3 linked regions of the Sus scrofa genome follow. The protein of the gene in region 2 purifies or fractionates together with the protein of the main gene of each other region. This does not show direct contact. Links are inferred from orthologs where the notes say so. Each region holds a gene or a part of one and is shown on either strand. Other genes may lie near its edges.

The links. The genes of interacting proteins can lie anywhere in the genome.
Region 1: the proteins of PAK1 (region 2) and GIT2 purify together in Homo sapiens (affinity purification with mass spectrometry; 5 studies listed by BioGRID and IntAct, with this or other methods). This does not show direct contact. The link is inferred for Sus scrofa from reciprocal best matches to the Homo sapiens genes PAK1 and GIT2.
Region 3: the proteins of PAK1 (region 2) and GIT1 purify together in Homo sapiens (affinity purification with mass spectrometry; 6 studies listed by BioGRID and IntAct, with this or other methods). This does not show direct contact. The link is inferred for Sus scrofa from reciprocal best matches to the Homo sapiens genes PAK1 and GIT1.

What each region holds. Positions count from the first base shown.
Region 1 is NC_010456.5:40,994,562-40,998,789, forward strand, and holds the start of GIT2 (ARF GTPase-activating protein GIT2), read left to right. Parts: upstream 1-1,428; 5' UTR 1,429-1,581; coding exon 1,582-1,633; intron 1,634-4,228. UniProt on the Homo sapiens protein: GTPase-activating protein for ADP ribosylation factor family members, including ARF1.
Region 2 is NC_010451.4:11,858,075-11,861,574, reverse strand, and holds part of PAK1 (serine/threonine-protein kinase PAK 1), read left to right. Parts: intron 1-2,044; coding exon 2,045-2,219; intron 2,220-3,500. UniProt on the Homo sapiens protein: Protein kinase involved in intracellular signaling pathways downstream of integrins and receptor-type kinases that plays an important role in cytoskeleton dynamics, in cell adhesion, migration, proliferation, apoptosis, mitosis, and in vesicle-mediated transport processes.
Region 3 is NC_010454.4:45,780,818-45,784,915, reverse strand, and holds the start of GIT1 (ARF GTPase-activating protein GIT1), read left to right. Parts: upstream 1-1,298; 5' UTR 1,299-1,419; coding exon 1,420-1,471; intron 1,472-4,098. UniProt on the Homo sapiens protein: GTPase-activating protein for ADP ribosylation factor family members, including ARF1.

The DNA of each region.
Region 1 (4,228 bases), on a different chromosome or scaffold from region 2:
CCTGTATATTAGGTTATCTATCGTTATCCTCAAAATTGTGATTAAGAAATAATAGTAATATCAAATTCCAATAATAACAGAGGCTACTTTTTTTTTGCTTTTTGCTATTTCTTGGGCCGCTCCCGCAGCATATGGAGGTTCCCACGCTAGGGGTCTAGTTGGAGCTGCGCCACCGGCCTACGCCAGAGCCACAGCAACGTGGGATCCGAGCCGAGTCTGCAACCTACACCACAGCTCACAGCAACGCCGGATCGTGAACCCACTGAGCAAGGGCAGGGACTGAACCTGCAACCTCATGGTTCCTAGTCGGATTCGTTAACCATTGCGCCACGACGGGAACTTCAAGAGGCTACTATTAATGAGGGTTCACTCTGAGGCAAGCATACCACACTCTTCTGTGAATTATTCCATTTGTTCTTAGCCAGACAGTAAATATTTAGCTATACGTTTCATATATGAGTTTTGTTAAATATTCATCCTTTCCCTCTTCTCCTTCCTCTTTACAATCCTTCAAAAATGTAAAAATTAGGAGTTCCCTGTGTCGTGCAGTGGAAAGGAATCCAACCAGTAAACCTGAGGATGCAGGTCTGATCTCTGGCCTCGCTTAGTGGGTCCGGGATCTGGTGTTGCTGTGGGCTAGTGGGTAGGTCACAGGTGCAGCTGGGATCCCGCATTGCTATGGCTGTGGTGTAGGCTGACAGCTGTAGCTCCAATTTACCCCTAACCTGGGAACCTCCATATGGCCTAAAAAACAACAAAACAAGTAAAAATTAAGAGTTGATGGCCGAGCAATTAAGGACTCAGTTGTCACTGCTGTGGCTCGATTATTGCTATGGCTCCAGTTCCATCCCGGCCCTGAAACTTCCACATGCCAAAACACAACAAAAACAAAAAAATAAAACTATGAAAATCATTTTTAGGTGCAAGCCATACAAAAGAAAATTGTAGGCTAGCGGTAGATACACATTATCTTCCTCTAGCAGATTATATTAAAACTGCAGCATAAGGAAACACATAATATACCCTTATTTTACTTATTGTAGATCTAGCACAATTGAATGTTAGCTCCATAAAGACAGGAAATTTTGTCCTCTTGGCTCACTACTCTTTCTTCACTGCTTGGAACACTGTGTGTAATTTGCTGAATAAAGGAAAGAATATATAAATGAACTTGGCCAAAGTTATGCGAAATGACTTGACTACTGATTACCTCAGGCAGGTTGCAGCTGCAGACTTCTGGTTACTAGATTTGGTATTAATCAGTGCTGGGAAGAAGCGAATTTCTTCTGGAGAGGGAGACAAATTACAGAAAATTTGGAAGCAGGACGGAAGATCCTTGCCCTCACTCAATATGGCGACAGGGCAGCGTGCCCTTTCCGGTCACATGATCTGCCTATTGCCAAAGGGTGCCTCCCCGCGCGTGCGTGCTGGGCCGCGGCTGCGAGGCGCTCAGGGAGAGGCGCTGCCGCCAGCGCCGCCGCTGGGACCCGTTAGAGCGGAAGCGCCTCCGCCGCCGCCGCCGCCGCCGCCGCCTTCGCTGTCTCGGGGCCCCAGGTTCCCGGCAGGTGGGAGGCGGGAGCCATGTCGAAGCGGCTCCGGAGCAGCGAAGTGTGCGCTGACTGCAGCGGGCCAGGTGAGTCTCATCAGCCGGGCCCGCTCCCCTCAGCTCTCCTGGCCAGGACCCCTGCCCCGGGGCCGCCCCTCGAGCCGGGCGGGTCCCGGCAGTCGACCTCTGCATCCCATGCCTGGGGTCACGACGAGGAGGAAGGGGGGCGGTCTTGGGGCAGAACCTGCCCCTGGCCTGTCAGAGCCGGGCGGGCAGGGGGCCGCCGCCCTCCCGCCCCTCCTTTCCCTTTCGTTCACTCTGTCCCAGGCCGTCCGGGGAGGCGGTGGGGTCGGAGCCGCTTTCCTAACAGGAAGGGGCTTGGGCAATCCACAGGAAGGCCAATTACAGAAGTAAAATGCGAGCGTCTTCCCGGCTGCGGCCCCCAGAGACTGCAGGTGTCACCACCCCCTTCCCACAGTCACCCAAGACCCCCGTCCCCGGAGGCGCCCTGCTGGTAGTGGGCGACGCTCACCCCTTCCCTCCACTGAGACTCGCCAGAGGACCCCCATGGACGATTTCGCCATTTCTGGCATCCCGACTCCCGCTCCACGGCAGAGAGTCTCCAGGATGTCGGGGTCTTGCAAACGCCACCTGCACTTGGGAGGCAATGCTTGGCTCAGGTTCTGAGATCTGAACCGTCTGAGTTCAAACTAGATGTTCCCTCTGGGTGACCTTGGGCTGGTGACTTCATTTGGCCGAGTCTTCATTTCCTCATTTTTCCGATGGGGATAATGGGGAGTATGGTGCTTAGCGGTAGGGAAGATTCAGTGAATATTCTTAGCATCATCTCATTTAAATTTTTTTCCCCTATTGTGTACAGAACCTTTACAGTCCCTTAAAACTATAGTTGAATTTCTAAATCATGCATTAATTACAGCTTACAAAACCAACACACACCACATCACTGACAAGTAGACCCATTTGGGCATTTAGGCAATATAGGCATATGGCAGCACTGAAAGGCCAAAACTAAACCTCCCATGTGTAGTTTTCGTCTTAGCAGTTGGAACTGAGTTGACAGGTCTCTGTACTGTTCTCAGTGCTTGTATTTTTCTGCTTTGAATTTGAAGTAATTCAAAAGGTAAAATGGCACCACAGCATCCAGTAAACAATCTTAATGAAACCATTGCGCACCAGTGTTTTTGCGACTGTTCCAAACTTTGTCTTGTCAGATGGAAGTGGAGACTGATTTTTAAATAGTACTATGATAATTCAAACCTTATGTGGTTATTTCATGGCCTCTATAATGTAAGTGGGGTTACCGGTTTCCTTTGAAGATAGGGAGACGGGTGGAGGAGTTTAAAAAGAGGTGTTTTAGAAACCAAGTTAATGTGTTATACAAACTCCATCGTATTCTCTAAAAATGTTATTTGTTCCACTTCCTTATTTTCTTGCCTCTTTTCGGTTGAACCTTCTGTGATGTTTGATTCTTATGAGTCTAGATTCAAACTTCCTCTTGAAATGCATTTTCTGTGCTTCTCAGTGGGTGGTATGAGGCAAAGGAAAAACTGCAGCTCCCTTGCTACACTAAACACTATCTTGCACCTCTGCAGCATTTTGTGCATTTCAGAACATTTTCTCTTCCATTGTTTCATTTTAGTTGTTGTCTCATATGCCTAATCTACAGAGACTTGAGTCACTTCCTTCCTGTTTTGAATATAATTAGGCTACCTTGAAATGTTCTGAACTTGAGCAGCCAGGAATTTGTGCTGTCTTTTCTGCAAAGCCCTATGAAAGTTACCTTTAGGGTTAGGGACCCCTTTGAGATTCTGATGAATGCTAAGGCCTTCTTGCCAGAAAATGCACACATAATTACTCTTTCACAGAGAATTTATGTTACGATTTTTCAGTGGAATCATAGACGTTTCTGAAGCCCATTTGTTGTCTTCTTAGAAGCCAGGTTAAGAAGCCATAGCATAAACCGTTCAGATAGACTGGAAGGGGTTCACCCAGCCTCTTGCATACAAACTCAGTTTGGATTTTACTGTGTTGTTAACATGGGATTCTGATTCATGACGTTAAGGTGATTAATAGGGAAACTTTCTTAATGTGTGTTAAATCCTTGCTGTTTTGTACCTGTTTAATTTCCTCCAAAGGAGATTGTGAATCTTCAGAATGATATGTGAAAATCAAAGCTAATCTTCAAAACAAATAGTCTTTTTGTATGTGTGTCATTAGTAGTAGTACCATACTGCAAAAAGCATTGTTCTAGGAGTTCCCTTCATGGCGCAGCAGAAATGAATCCGACTAGGAACCATGAGGTTGCAGGTTTGATCCCTGGCCTCTCTCAGTGGGTTAAGGATCTGGTGTTGCCAAGAGCTGTGGTGTAGGTGGAAGACGAGGCTCAGATCTGGCATTGCTGTGGCTGTGGTATTGGCCAGCAGCTGTAGCTGCAATTAGACCCCTAGCCTGGGAACCTCCGTCTGCTGCGGGTGTGGCCCTAAAAAAAGACAAAACAAAACAAACAAACAAAAGCATTGTTCTGTATCTTTGTAGGGATCCTTCATCTTGATGTTTCCACCCTTTGCCTTTTTTTTGGATGCACTGGTGCCATGTGGAAGTTCCAGGGCCAGGGATGGAATCTATACCACAGCAGCAACCCAGGCCGCTGCAGTGACAATA
Region 2 (3,500 bases):
CTGAGCACTGATCTTTCATTAAATGACACTCTATTAGTGCTTCTTCGTTTGGACTTTTTATTATGACAGGAGCTTCATAATGCAAGAATGAGCTAGGGCTTAAACTCTGTGATAATTCATAAAAAGACTGTCTCAGAAGTAGAGAATTCATGGAGATGTTCAAGCAGAAGTTGGTTGACTGACCCTGGGAGATGTTGCAGAGGAAATTCAAGGGCATTAGATGACCTTTTAGGATGAGAATTTATAAGCAGAATCTGTGGAATCACTCTTTCTGTAGTTGCAAAATTATCTTAAGGAAAATGAGCTTCAAAATTAAGAGTTGTTAAGATACCTCACATTGGCATGGCTTTTTTTGGTTTATAAGCATATTCATTTAAAGTTTTTTCTCTGGTAAACAAGGAACTCCTCAAAAGTAGAGGAAATACATGAATATTTCCAGTGCTTAACATAGTTCTTGGCAGGTTTTAGAAAGGTAGTTAGTAGTGAATGGACAAATGAATCAATACATTTGATCTTCATACCATTCCTTTCTAAAAAGACATTGTTAATTCCTGATTTATAGAAGAAATTCAGATTTGGAAAGGCGAATTGATCTATCCAAAGTCTCTTAGGAAGTAAAAGAGCCAGGATTGAAAACAGGTAATTGACCCCAAGTCCAGGTTTTATTAGCGTAGTGCAGTGGCCTTTTTATGTAAGCAGATTTGTGCTGGGAGCCAGAGCATTTTAGAGAAGCAAAGGTTTGTGCCCTCAAGGAGCCGTGTCCGGAGAACTAAAGGAGGACAAGGCATGAAAGTACAGGTTTAGGTGCCAGGGATATAGTTTCTTTATATGTGCAAGAATAGAATATTAAGAAATCCTTATGCTGGAGTAGTCTGGAAAGCAGCTGTAGTCTCTGATCTCAGTGCCTTGGACTTATTGCTTTTTCCTCTCTGTAGAATTTTCTCTCCCATTTCACCTAGTAAAGTCCTGTCCATCCTTCACATCCAGTTGAAGAATCCCATTCATTTGTTCATGGAGTTGTCATTTACCTGAATGCTTGTTTTTTGTTAGGCAAGTGCTTTAGGAGCTCAGGAATCAATGACACACATTCCCTGTCTTCATGGAGCTTAGAGGCTAGCCAAAAAATTATGGTGATGTTTTTATGAAAAAAAAAAAAAAAAGATAAATGCCTTGAAGCATTTCCTGGGGAAAGGACATATAACTTATGATGACTTCTTCTGAACCTCAGTAGTATATAGTTTGCTCATTTCTTCTGACATTTATCCCTTTCTGCCTTGCAGTTAGGACTTTCTCTAAGACTTTTTCACAGGAATAGAGGATGCATTTTGTGCAGTAAGGCAAATAATAGGTTCTCAGTACATGTTAAAATAAATGAATAAATAGGAGGTCTGCTGGGTATGATACTACTCATTTCACACAATAATTAATTTATTACCACAACAACCCTGTAAGATAGGTATCACTAACATCACCGTTTTACAAATGAGGAAACTAAAGCATAGAGAAGTAACCTGCCCCAAGACATACAAATGGTAAGAGGAAGAGTCCAGGGAATCAGGCTCCAGAATCAATAGTCTAATTGACTACATCCTACTGCCTCTTAAAGAAAAGCAATTATAGTTCCTTCTCTGCAAGAGTTCTGGATTTAAAGAGGGAATAACTCAAATGAAACTAACGTTAAGTGTTGCATTAGCAATGCAAAGTACTATGGAGTCCAGGATGTTCATTTCAGCTTGAGAAAGAATAGAATTTTACAGATGGAGGGGATTCCTGTCTAATGGTAGAAAGTCCTTTACACTCTATATTGAGAGTTGTCTAACCTGTATTGAATATCTTCAGAGTTCAGACTCTCACTAATCCCTTTTGTTTATAGGGAGGGCCAAAAAGGCCATTCTATCCTCATGGCCTGGGCACACAGGAGGAGGAATATAGATTTTGACCCAGGAGAAGGGATGAGTTTACTGGGGTTTGTTCTTCTGTGGATGTTCTAACACACGACTCTTAGAGATGTTAGCCTTGCCAAATTCTTGCACCAAAAATGCAGGTATACACACGGTCTGTGATTGAACCACTTCCTATTACTCCAACTCGGGATGTGGCTACATCTCCCATTTCACCTACTGAGAGCACTACCACTCCACCGGATGCCCTGACTCGGAATACTGAGAAGCAGAAGAAGAAGCCCAAAATGTCTGATGAGGAGATCTTGGAGAAATTACGTAAGCACGTTGTAGGTCTTTGAATTTCCCTCTGGTATGTGGCTGTTTGAACACAAAGATGGAATTCTGTTGCTGTTAAGATCTTAGTTCTGCACTTGGTGTATGTGGCTGGCTGACTGTGCTTTATGTCTTAGCCACAGACTGTGCTTCTCTTCTCCTTGTCCCCGTACCCACCTTCTCTCTGTCTCAGCAGCCCTGTTAGGATGTGAATGTGATGAAAGAGAGTGTGGATAGCCTAGGTATGGGCTGTGAAGATGACAAATAACTTTTACCCAGTGAATAGTCTGGAATATCATGTTGAGAAAGACAACCTGCTGGGAAAGAGTGCTATGTTCATTATTGATGTTTGCCCTTGATACAAGACAGATCTGCTGTCTTGGTTATAGGAAAAGAGGGAAGGGAAACTAACATTTTGTGAACCTGTGCTATGTACCAAATGACAAACAAGGCTTTTTCCTGATTTTTTAAAAATGTATTCCTCATTTTAACCCTGTGGAGACAGACATTATAATCCTTATCTTTTGCAGTTAAGGTGTTTGAGGCTAGTGATGCTAAATACTCCGCCCAAGTTCACACAGCCAAAAAGTAACCCAAAAACTAGGGTTAGAGTGTATCTTGTGCCCCTGTAATCAGAGCGTGCTATTACTTGCTGTCAGGTAGAAACTTCCGTTTTACTTTCTTTAGTGACCAGAAATGGGCTGTGTTAGGGTAGCTTGTTTCTGTTTTTCAGTAACCTGAGGAGAACTCATATGAAAAGGAAGACTGGTTGATCTGTGGGCTTAGAAGAATCATCTGACAAGGCCTTTGATTTATTCTTTGTACTTAACTACTTCTAAAGAGGATTTGATATGACTGGTTCTGCCAAGTCTGCATGCTGGCATTGCCTTCTTAAGTTGAAGTTTCTGATTCTCTAGCTTAGCAGCTCTTAATTACTTCCAGATAATTCTTATTTGACTTAAAAAAAAATTCACTCTTTAAGAAGTTACCCTTGCCCAGAGCCCTTATGAAATGATGGAATAAGGAAATCCACTTACCTAGTCATCTGTTTACTCCTGTATGTATTCTTTTTCTCTGAACCAGATTTTTTTTTTTTAAATTAATACTTAGGGAGTTCCCGTTGTGGCACAGTGGTTGACAAATCCGACTAGGAACCATGAGGTTGCGGGTTCGATCCCTGCCCTTGCTCAGTGGGTTAAAGATCCGGCGTTGCTGTGAGCTGTGGTGTAGGTCGCAGACAGCTTGGATCCCGTGTTGCTGTGGCTCTGGCGTAGGCTGGCGTCT
Region 3 (4,098 bases), on a different chromosome or scaffold from region 2:
CCCACCCACAAGTCACTGCTGCTCTGGCACCGCTGGTTTAAAATCAACCAACTCCTGCACCCCTGCCCAAGGACTCGCCTCCTACCCCCACCCCTTGTTACTAAGCAGGACTCCCCGCCTGCCACTGGGGAACCCTCCTTTAATCGTGTCACCACTTCATCAGGACCCATTGGGCCTGGGCCTTAGCACCCCTGCCCTCTCTCCACAAACCCAGCGCTTTAGCCTTTCTTGCTGCAAGATGGGGGTTGGGTGCACGTGGGGCACACGTGTATGGGGGAGCATGCTCAGTGCTGGGGTGCACCCACGTGTGGCCTGCTGCCTCCTCTCCCTGTCCCCCATCCTCCAACGAGTCTCTGTGTGAAGTCCAGGAGGAAAAACCACCGCAAAAAAGGCCCCTGTATGTTATATGCTTGTGCCCTGGACACGCAGACTTCCCGTGGCTCAGAAACACCAATGATGTATGCAAGACCGATGCCAAGTGGGTATTACTGTACACAGGCACAGTGGTCACTGCTCAGGAGGTCTTCAAAAACAGTCCACACTCTTTCATTTCTGGATGGAAGCCGGGAGGAGGGATAGATGTTTATTCAGCTCGGAGGCAGGGGTATACACTGCATGACCTCTGGCACTTGGGCGTCCATATTGTTGGCGGTGTGCGTAGTCAACAAGAGTGTGACCACACAAACACCTGGACACACAGATGTGAACACACAGCGGACCAGGACGCACAACTCACCCCAAACAGAGACAGGAACGTTACCCCGAACCACAGCCTCTGGATGAGGAGGGGGGCCTGGGCCTTCAGCTCCTTACTCTCTTCTTTGATCCCCAGGGGTCACTGTCCCTGGGCTCAAGCTCCCCGGGCCAGCTTCCGTCTCAGTGAAGGGGATGGGGCTGTGGGGCTAGCTCGCACAGCCTCAGGGACAGGGGCGCGCCGGAGCCCAGTGCAGGGCGCAGGCGACGCTGCAGCGCGGGCCCGGCGGCGGCGGCGGCGGCCGCGGCCCCTTTAAACGCCCCCACCCCCTCCCGCCCGCGCTCCCGGCTTCCTTTCTCCGGGAGGCGCGGCCGGCAGGGCCCGGCGGTGGGGCGGGTGTGCAGGCTGCCCCTCCCCCGGTGGGCCGGGCCTGCGCCGCTTCCTGCAGGAGCGGCCGAGAGCCGCGCAGGGGGCGGAGAGAGCGAGCGGCGAGCGGCGGCGGGGCGGCGCGGGGCGGCGCGGGGCGGAGGGCGCCCGAGGGCGAGCGGGCGGGCGGGCACGGCGGGTTCCGGGCCAGCCCCGGGGGCGGACGGTTGGCCGGGCGCGCGGAGCCTAGCCGGGGCCTTGCCGGAGCCGGGCCGGGCAGCAGGGGCCGCCGCCGCCCGGGCCCGCCGCCCGCGCCCCCCACGCTGGCCCAGAGGGCTGCGGCCGCGTCGCCGCTGAGGATGTCCCGGAAGGGGCCGCGAGCGGAGGTGTGTGCGGACTGCAGCGCCCCGGGTAAGCGGGGCCGGGCCGGGGGCGGGACCGCGCACCGAGGCGCCGCCGGGCGGGCGCCGGGGCCTGGCGGGAGCGCCGTGCGGGGCCGGAGGGCGGGGCGGGGCTGGGGGCTGCGGCCTCCGGCCTCGGCCCCCGCCCCGGCCGCTGCCGAGCCTCGTCCTTGGCGGGAGGGCCGTCCTGGGGGCCCCAGTTTCCTCGTGTCCGTGGACAAGCGAGAAAGGACATTCCCGGCGCCGCCTCCCACCCCTCAGTCAGAGGGAGGCGGGCAGCTGGCTGCACCCCCCGCTTCCATCTCATATCCAAACGGAAGCGCCAGCCTGGGGTGGCAGGAGGGCTGTGGCGAGGCCGGTCGGGGTTTAGGAGGTGGGGGCGAGTGAGGTTTTGTGTCATCTCAGTGCCACCCCCGCGTCTTGCACCTGCTGCTCGCATGGTCTGCACGCCCGCTGGGGTGGCGGAGGGCAAGGGGCAGAGAGCTGGGCAGATGGGCTAGGGGGGGTCTGGATACTGTTTCCTCTGGAGCATTTGACGGGGTGGCTACTCCTAGGACTCCTTGCCCCTGGCTCCCAAGGCTGGGGCCCTTTGCAGGGCCTGGTGTTCAGGGCCACTTGAGCCTGGGCATCTTCCCCTGAGGCGTCCCCAGGCCTGATGACTGGAAACGAGATTCAGCTTCCCCTGTGCTCCAGTAAGGCCTGCTTGGAAGGTGGGCTTGGCATTGCCCCAACCTGAGCACAGACCCCTTGCCATCTCCTAGGCCAGTCTGGTCAGAAATGGGTGGGGAGCAGTGCCAAGGGGTGCCTAGATTCCTGAGATTCACCTGGCTTCCTGGCCTGCCTTCTGGCTGTAGTCGCCGTGGTTTTTCTCTTATTCCCAGCAGAGTCAGGTCCAGGTGAAACCCCTTGACCTGCTGAGGGAGTGAGAAGCAGTGACCTGGAGAGGATGCTTCCTTCTGATGTGGGAGGACGCTGCCGGTGATGGGGCTCAGCATCTGGCCCGGGGAAGGAAGCCCTGGCCCTTGACCGGCCTCTCTTTTTATAAAAGGAGCTATCTTGCTGGGAGACCGGGTGGACTCAGGGAGGGGGGACTATGGGCGCAATTAAGCATGAGTGTGGGGTGTTGTTTTGTGTGCCCATAACTTCCAGCCACCCTTTGGAGAGGTCCAGGACCCCCAACAGGTTGAGAGCAACAGACGCTCTGGTGGTTCTGATGTCTCCAAGCTAGAGTGTTTGGGAACTGTGGGTGCCTGGCAGAGGCATGGTAGTCTGGGTAGTCATGACCCTGAGGCCTCCTCTCAGGGCATGTTAGGGTCCAGAGTGCCCCCAAGAAGCTATGGGGGAGGAGGTGGGTCATCCGACCTTACCCCTGATGAGTTAGAAACTACTATCTCCTTCCCCCAAATGCAGGCAGGTCTGGGGATGGAAGGGCTAAGAGGAGAACTTGTTTTCTCAGTGCCTGTCCCAGGCCGCCCTTTTGCATCTCTGCTGGACACACGTCACAGTGGGGGTGGGAAGGGCAAGTAAGAGTGGGAGGGGGTGCTTAGTAGATATCTTATCAGGGGAGCCTGGATTTTGGTGTTGCCTTTGTTTCCAGCTTACTCTGACTCATGGCAAGACTTTTCCCCCTCAGGGTCTCAGGTTCCTCAACTCTGAGGTAAAGAAGTTGGAATAGAAATGGTTTTTAAGATCTATCCAGAAGTTCCTGCTATGGCTCAGTGGTTAACAGATCCGACTAGGAATCACAAGGTTGCGGGTTCAATCCCTGCCCTCGCCAAGTGGGTTAAGGATCCAGCCGCTCAGATCTGGCGTTGCTATGGCTCTGGCGTAGGCTGGTGGCTACAGTTCCGATTAGACCCCTAGCCTTGGAACCTCCATATGCTGTGGGTGAGGCCCTAGAAAAAGACCAAAAAAAAAAAAAACTATCCTATCTCCAAAGTCTGTGGTCCTGATTCTGGACCTGGGGGACACAGGCAGCATTATCAAGGCAGTTGTCCTTTCTCCATTGCTTTTGACCATTTGGCTGAAGTCTCTAGATGCTCAGCGGGCATAGGGAGGAGTGGTATGTATCTGGTGTGTTGGGGTGCCCAACCCAGCTCGTACCCCAAGTCCTCATCCCACAGAGACCTTTTGTGCTCCTGGTACTACCTTTTCCCCTGATCCAGAATACAGGTCAGGAAGAGGCAGGTGGTATGGTGGGCAGGGTGCCATCAAAGTCTTCTTCATCACCCAACCCCTGCACCTAGCATGCTGTCTGGTAGGCATTCCCTAAGGGTCTGGATGCTTCTCAGGACCTCAGCTGACTTTTTAGGGGCACCTGCACCCTATGATGCATGGGGTGGCATTCTCAGTCTGGGACCTATAGCAGCTTAGGTAAGAGGCTTGAGGGAAACCAACAGTCTGGAGCCCAGGCCCAGAGCCACCTCCTTGGAATATGCTTCCTACCCAAAGTCATAAGCTTCTCACTGTAATAGGAGCCCTGCAATCTGCCCTAGGAGTGGGGTTGTGGCCCTTTTGTGGTTGGTTAATTTGCAGGGTCATGGAGCTGAAAAGTAAGGTGCAGCCTGACCCCAAAGGGCTCTGTCCTTTCTCTCCTCCCAGGCCTGGACACACAGGGAACAGCTGTGAGGCAGCTGG